2 linked regions of the Callithrix jacchus genome follow. The protein of the gene in region 1 interacts with the protein of each later gene in a pairwise test. Links are inferred from orthologs where the notes say so. Each region holds a gene or a part of one and is shown in the gene's direction. Other genes may lie near its edges.

Evidence for each region. The genes of interacting proteins can lie anywhere in the genome.
Region 2: the proteins of TRIM39 (region 1) and UBE2E2 interact in binary tests that used the Homo sapiens proteins (3 or more experiments, as listed by UniProt). The link is inferred for Callithrix jacchus from reciprocal best matches to the Homo sapiens genes TRIM39 and UBE2E2.

What each region holds. Positions count from the first base shown.
Region 1 is NC_133505.1:35,060,167-35,063,810, forward strand, and holds part of TRIM39 (E3 ubiquitin-protein ligase TRIM39), read left to right. Parts: intron 1-2,836; coding exon 2,837-3,067; intron 3,068-3,644.
Region 2 is NC_133518.1:61,540,342-61,544,468, forward strand, and holds the start of UBE2E2 (ubiquitin-conjugating enzyme E2 E2), read left to right. Parts: upstream 1-1,316; 5' UTR 1,317-1,477; intron 1,478-4,127.

The sequences.
Region 1 (3,644 bases):
GTAAAATAACCTATATATGTAATTTTAAATTTTAAAGAGTCTATCATGTCCCAATATAATATAACATATAATGAAACATAATTGATGATAAAAGATGGTATGTAGTATTTGGGCATGACTACCCTGAAAGAGTAGTTTACAGTGTAGCCAGTTATATGCTTGCACCTATATGTATCAGCAATGCAATAAATACAAATTCAGACTGAGATGGATATGTGTCAATGTGATTGAAATACCATAGTAGCTTAGCTGTTGGTGATATGATTTTTTATAATAATCACTTTCGGTAAAATCCTAAGTAAAACAAAATATAATTTTGAGTTTTATTCAGCTATTGCTAAAAAATTCATGTCTAGTAAAACCACGTAAGAATTACTCTGTGCTTATACTGTTAAAATGGCATTCAAGCCCAGGCCTATGTTTTTTAATATCCAGCAGAACAAGGGCCGGGCGCGGTGGCTCAAGCCTGTAATCCCAGCACTTTGGGAGGCCGAGGCGGGTGGATCACGAGATCAAGAGATCGAGATCATCCTGGTCAACATGGTGAAATCCCGTCTCTACTAAAAATACAAAAAATTAGCAGGGCATGGTGGCGTGTGCCTGTAATCCCAGCTACTCTGGAGGCTGAGGCAGGAGAATTGCCTGAACCCGGGAGGCAGAGGTTGCGGTGAGCCGAGATCGCGCCATTGCACTCCAGCCTGGGTAACAAGAGCGAAACTCCATATCAAAAAAAATATATATATATATATCCAGCAGAACATTAGAAAATGTTACAGGTCAATTCACTATGCCGGGTTGTCTCACACATTGGAGGAGTGCTAGCATACTTGTCAGGACTTCCCCAAACATGGAAAACAAGAATATGCGTCCATTTCCAAAATATTTTCAGAGGGAGGTAACACCTTCATTAAGAACCACTGCCCTACAAATACAGTGAAAAAAAAAGAGATTACAGGTTTATAAGAGGAAGAGCCTTTTTGCTTCCTTTTTATCACAGTCATGAATGTTAAACTTACACCCATACATCACCCCTAAACAAACGCACATGCATGCACACACATGTACTCATGCACTCACATACACAAAAAGGCTGTGTTTTATTGAGGGCAACTGTGAGAATATATTTTGTTCAGATGTGCACTGAGAAGGCAGCAGTGGAAAGTGAAGCAGCAAGTGGCCCTGAACTAGAAAGAGCTAGTCAGCCTCTGCTAGGAACTAGCTTGAATCCACAAATGCCATGCTTGTCATCCCCATCCTGGCTTTGCATCCTCACTCTGTCTTCACACTCAGGCCTGCCTTTTGTTCCCTATCCACTTCTAGAATCCCACCCTCTGCTGCTCACTTTGCTTCATCATCAGTTACATGATGCTTGAGGAATCTTTCTTTGGGGAGATCACTATTTGTTTTAGTGGAGATGCAGAAGAGAAGATACACTGATAATTCTCAGAAAGTATTGTGGCTGGTGTTTGAGTCCTATGTTATAAAATTTCAGGAAGGGCTTAAGTCTACTGCTGGCTTAAAGAAATCATGTTTCAAATTTCAAGCAGCTAATTACTAATAAACTTCTGGAACCTGTTCCTGGGGTAGGAATTGCCAATTCTCTGAAGTGACTTGAAACACTTTAACAAGTTCAGCCCTGAAATCTACATATGTATATTTTGTAACAACCCATTATTAAACTCTTAACTGATTCTTATACTTTCCCAGTTGGTTCTCTGGTTTTTATCTGGTGGATGTGTTGCAATATGCAAAGAATGACAACTTTTAACTTTTAGTATTTGTACTTTTCGTTGTGTTGTTTTTGTTGTTGTTTGTTTTGAGACAGAATCTCACTCACCCAGGCTGGAGCACAATGGTGATCATAGTACACTAACTTGAACTCTAGGATTCAAGCTTTGAGACAGAATCTCACTCACCCAGGCTGGAGCACAATGGTGATCATAGTACACTAACTTGAACTCTAGGATTCAAGCCATCCATCCTCTTGTCTCAGCCTTTTGAGTAGCTAAGACTGCAGATGTGCACTACCACACCCAACTACTTTTCTTAATTTTTAGTTGAGACAAGGTCTCATCATGTTGCCCAGGTTGGTCTCAGACTCTTGGCCTCAAGTGATCCTCTCACCTGGGCTTCCTAAGCACTAAGTTTATAGGCATGAGCCTGTACTTTCCTTTTTTGACAGATTGAATTAACTAGAACTTTACAGTCAGTAACAACACAGCTATCTCTGGTATCTGTAATAGTGAATGTCATATCATTGAGTTTTTTATCTTAAATTAAAAATACGTATGTATCCCTAATGGTCACTGCCAAGTCATCAGTGGGGGGTGATGAGGATGGAGCCATTCTTTACAGAAGGAAATTCCAATGAAGCAGAAAATGAGTGTTCTGTTAAACCTTTTTTTTTTATTTATTTGTTTATTTATTTTTAGATGGGGTCTCTATCTGTTACCCAGGCTGGAATACAATGGTGCAACAATCTCAGCTCACTGCAACCTCTGCCTTCTGGGCTCAAGCCATCGTCCCACCTCAGCCTCTCCATTAGCTGAGACTACAGGAATGCACCACCACACCCAGCTAATTTTTCTATTTTTTGTAGAGTTAGAGTTTCACCATGTTGCCTAAGCTGGTCTCGAACTCCTGAGCTCAAACAGTCCAGCTGCCTCAGCCCCACAAAGTCCTGGAATTACAGGCATGCATCACCACACCCAGCCTTTGTTAAACCATTTTCAATGAAACTGGAAGTCTCTGTTAATTCATACATATGGTGGATGAGAGAAAGGCTTCCTTTTAACCCACTGACCCTGCTGATAGAACATCTTCCCTCTTTTCTCAGAGACTAGTGGAAAGTCGCCGACAGCAGATCTTAAGAGAGTTTGAAGAGCTTCATAGGCGGCTGGATGAAGAGCAGCAGGTGTTGCTTTCACGACTGGAAGAAGAAGAACAGGACATTCTGCAGCGACTCCGAGAAAATGCTGCTCACCTTGGGGACAAGCGCCGGGACCTGGCCCACTTGGCTGCTGAGGTGGAGGGCAAGTGCTTACAGTCGGGCTTCGAGATGCTTAAGGTTCGACCTTTGCCCCTGCCTAGCCCCTCAGGTCAAGCGCAGTGTAGCTTTGCACAAGTTGTTCTGTCAGCCTGGGATGCTCATTCTTCTGCTCTGCTTCCCTAAATCCAGTTCTTCTAGGTATACTCAAAGGATTTTTGCTACAGAAAAGCTGATCTGATTTCTCCCATCCCCTTCTAATCATTTTTGTGTTCTTATGTTTTGTCAGCAATTATGTGCTTAATATGTTCTAAAGAAAAAATTCAGTCTTGAGGGAAGTCTAGTCTGAATTAGTGAAAACCTATTTAAAATTTTGTAAATGCAGTTACCATTACTTTTAAGTCCTGAAATTTTATTTATGTAGTGCTGAAAAAGAACAGAAACATATTTTAAAGGATACAGGCATACCTCAGAGATACTGTGGGTTCAGTTCCAGACCACTTCAATAAAGTGATTATCTTGATAAAGCAAGTCACATTAATTTGTTGGGTTTCCTAGTGGAATTGTAATCTTTTTGATGGTGGACGGTCTTGCATCAATATTGATGGATCAAGATGGTGGTTGCTGAAGATTGGGGTGGCTGTGATAATTTCTTAAA
Region 2 (4,127 bases), on another chromosome or scaffold:
GAGTGGACATTTTCACCATATATTTTTGAAAGCAGAGTCAACAGAATTTACTGAAGAATATGAGGCTGAGTGTAAAACAGAGAAGGTTCAGAGACAGGGGAAGTTCTGAGGACAAGAACTTTTCTCTTCTATTGAATGTCATATACCTACCACATAGACAGTGCCTGGTATCAATAAATATTCCTTGAATAAATGAAAAGAGTAATTTATTTGTACTAAACCCATTTTGAACTTAGTAAATAGCAGTTAAAACATCTACAATCAAATGAAGTGTTGTAGCAACCATAATTTCAGCAATTAAGCAGTGAAATGTCTTCCAATCCTTTCCTCCACAAAGATGGAAGTTTACTTTGCTGCATCCCATTGCCAACGACCCAGCACTCCAGTGGTAAGAGAGGCTAGAGGTGGGGGTGGGAGAAACTTCATGGAAGCTGAGTTTGCAAAGCAGGTACATACTTTTTTTTTAACGGTTATTTAGGGTGAGGAGTACAAGCGAACCTAATGTTCCTTCAGGCCACCTACAGCACTGCAACTGTTCCCACATACTTCAACTGGGCATGAAGACGGCTTCCCACTCACTCTGACAGTGTTGCACCCTGTACCCACCGCCCGTCTCTTCAATAACCCAGGGCTAAACGGCACGAAGATCCTCTCTACCGGCTGGTGTGCATTCTGGGCTAGGTCCAGCCAAAAGGCAGAAAGGCCTTCGTGCTGCAGTCTCGGGTGAAGAGACAGGCTCAGTCTGGACGAACTTTCCAGGCCATCGTGAAGTTTTCCCGTCTTGGGTGCATGCGGGCCCCACGCGTCTGCGAGTTTGGGTTAGTGTGTCCACAGGGTCAGTCCCGGTAGCTACTTCGCGAAAGCTTCGAGGCGAGTGTGAGGTCAAGGACTGCGGTGGATGGGTGTAAAAGGCCTCCTTGTCCCCCTGCCTGCACCGTCTGGGGGCAACCCCCAACCCCCGGCCAGCGTTTCCCTTTAACGCGCGTGACCGTCAAGGTCCTCTCGTCCCCCTCAGCCTCGGTTTCCCCCACTTCTCCCTGTCCTTGTCGTCCCTTCCCCGTGGGACGCCCCTCGCCCACCGCGCCACAGCCCGGCCTGCGCGAGGGACCCAGCTGTCACTTTACTTTTCCGCGCCGCCTCTTCACCCCCTCTCACGGCCGGCGGGGCAGCCCGCCGGGGCGCGCGCCCGCCCCCGCCCCCTCGCGGCCGCGCGCCGAAGGAGGAGGGGCGCGGGGAGGAGGGAGGCGCGCGGCGCCGCACGGCCGACGTGGGGCTCGCGCTCTCGCGGTCTCTCCCGGGCGGGCGCCCGGGCACGCGCAGTCGCGGGCGCGCGCGCGGACGGCCGGGCGGCGGCGGCTCCCAGAGGTGGTGGCTTCACTTTCCAGGACTCAGGGGCAGCCACAGCGACAGCCGCGGGCAGCAGCCTCAGGAGCCGGAGCTGGAACGGCCGGGGGCGGCGGCAGCGGCGGCGCTAAGGGTGAGTCCGGGCGGGCGCGAGCGCGGCGGGGACAGGCGTGGTCGGGTGCGTGGTGCGTGGGTCCGGCTTTCGGTGACTAGACGGTCCGCAGGGGACATCCCGTCCCTGGGGCCTCCCTAGGCTCCCCCCGCTCGCGCCTCAGCAGCTCTCTCCCCGGGCTTCGGCTTGAGCCCGCGACCTGCGCGGACACCCCCCTCAGGTATTCGCTCGGGCCGCGCCGGTGCCTCCCCTCCTCGGGCGTCCTCCCTCTCGCGGGCGTCCTCCCCACTTCCCCGACCTCCCCTCCGCGCCGCAGGTCTCTGCTTACACCACTGGCGTCCTAGTTCCCTCCTTCCTCGCTCCCCGTGCCCGGTTCTCTGCGCCCCCTCCCGCGAGCCTCCTGCCCCCGTTTCTCGCCCTTTCTACCCCTCCCCCTCTTTCCCATCCCCCCCCCTTCTGCCTCTTCACTCCCTGTCCTCCTTCTACCCCCTTCCGTTCTCAGTTCCCCATCCTTCCCCACCCTCCCAGCGCCTTCCTTCTCCTGGCCGCATCCTGGAACTAAGTCTTTGCAAAAGTACAGGATAAATGTCACGGTGGAAAGTGCCCGGCTTGATCTTTTGCTATTTTCCCTAATTGCATAATTGCTGCACATGGTGTCTCTCCTGGCGAGTGCCGGGTCTGGCGGCTCCGCCGCCGCACCCCGGTGGCCCGCCCGGAGAAGACCTTGTGGGGTATATTTGTGTGTGTCCTGGTGTGGGGTGTGTGTTGTATTGGTCTTTTGTGATGCCTGGCGCTTGTCACAGTTTGGAACCGAAGCCCATTTTTCTCTGGTCTCTTCTCTGCAGCTCCGCTGGCCTGGTTTGAAACTGGATTCCCTCTGTCCTCTTCCCCTTCTCCCTCCTCCACCCACTTCTCCCCCTCTCTTCTCTCCTCTCTCTGGTAATGTTTTGATCCTTTTGCCCTTTACCATTTCTAATGAAGATAAAGCGTGGCTTCTTGTGGCTTTTTTTTCCCACGACCAACCAGAAATGTCCAATCCATCTTCCGTTAAGGAAATTAAGGTCGCTTTAGAAAGACATCATCCTGTGCTCGGTGGCTGTTAGACCCATTTGCATGTTTCCAAGACTCGTCGTTTTGTATTGTGTGTTCTTGAGAGTCTATTCAAATATTTTTATTTAAAAGTACGAAAGGAAGTGCTAGGGTTTACCCTCAGATTGTCTCGCGGTTCAGAAAGATTTTACGCTCTTCTTAGTATTTAATCCCTGATTCTTTAAAAAGTGTGTTTCTAGATATGTGATAATTCAGTCAAGACTTTGTGAATCTAAATATTTGCCTTTACTACGACAATTTGAATGCACCTTGGCTCTTTGGAGTTCTGTATGTAGGCTGTTGCTTAAAATGGAGTGTTTTCATGTAATGTCATACCCCATTCTCTCTCTCCTGCTGCACCTTTTAACCTCAAATCAGGTGTTCCACTGTTATGTTCTGCATAAATGTCTTTGCAGTTAAATTTAAAGCTGGATATTGCTGTGTGCATATACTGTGTACTATTTTGTTTTATATTTTTGAAAAGTTTAGAAACGTGAGTAGGAAGACAAGATATATATGACAGAATTAAACGCTTTCCTGTTATAAAAGCTCAAGTGAACCCTTGTTTTGCAGTTTCGTACTAGTAGATACTGTTATAAGGCTTATCTGGATGGTAGTCTGAATTTATGGAATGACTGTAGTTGGCTTTATGTAGTCAGTGATACTTCAAGCCAAATCATTTCATTTTTATGGAACATGTGAGTTTCATTCACTGTATGTTGCTAATTTCCAGGACTGTAATTACAACATAGAGTACATAGCTAATACAGGTTTAGTTTGTGTTGAAGAAGGAACAGAAAGTAAGTCTCTTAAAATAGTTTTAGGAAGGACTACCTTACTATTTTATGTTTAAAAATCAAGTTTTACTTTGAGTTATGAAATAAGCATATTAATTTATATATCTCAGTATCTTTGAAACTATCATTGGAGAGTAACTCTTTGTTTCTACCCCTGGGATTTAAGTTTATCTTCCCTGTAGATTAGATAATCGGCTCAGATTAGCTGTTAGGAGTTTATTTTAAAATGCTAATTTAGAAGATAATGTTTAAAGAACTTTAAGTTAGGAATTTTTATTCATTTGTACTTTAGAGAGACATCAATTTTACACTTATGACTAATTAAAATGATTTATAGACTACTTTTTCTTCATGAAAATTTGTTTCACCTGAGTGGTACAACAATTTTTTTCTATACTTTTTCTGTAATCAAGTACTCAAAAAACAAACCCAGGAGAAATTCCTTTTATTAGTAATATTTGAAAAAGAGATGTGAAAACTATTTCTAAAAGTTCCCATAGTGGTTATCAGTGGCCTGAGATGGATTCATCATTTGTAGGTTAACATTTGGATGAAATAAGATATCTTAAGTCAAAAGTGGAAATAATTCTTTTCCTTAATGTAAAACTAGAAATTATGCCTCTTTTGGGGCATTTTTAATAGTATTTTTATTAGTTCTCTAGTGAGACTAATTTTTACTTCAGGCTTCCTTTGATATTTGGCAGTAGTTTATGAAATTTGGGTTTCACATTATGGCTCAGATCGTATCATTGAGTAATCTTTATAAGGAATTATGTAACTATGGC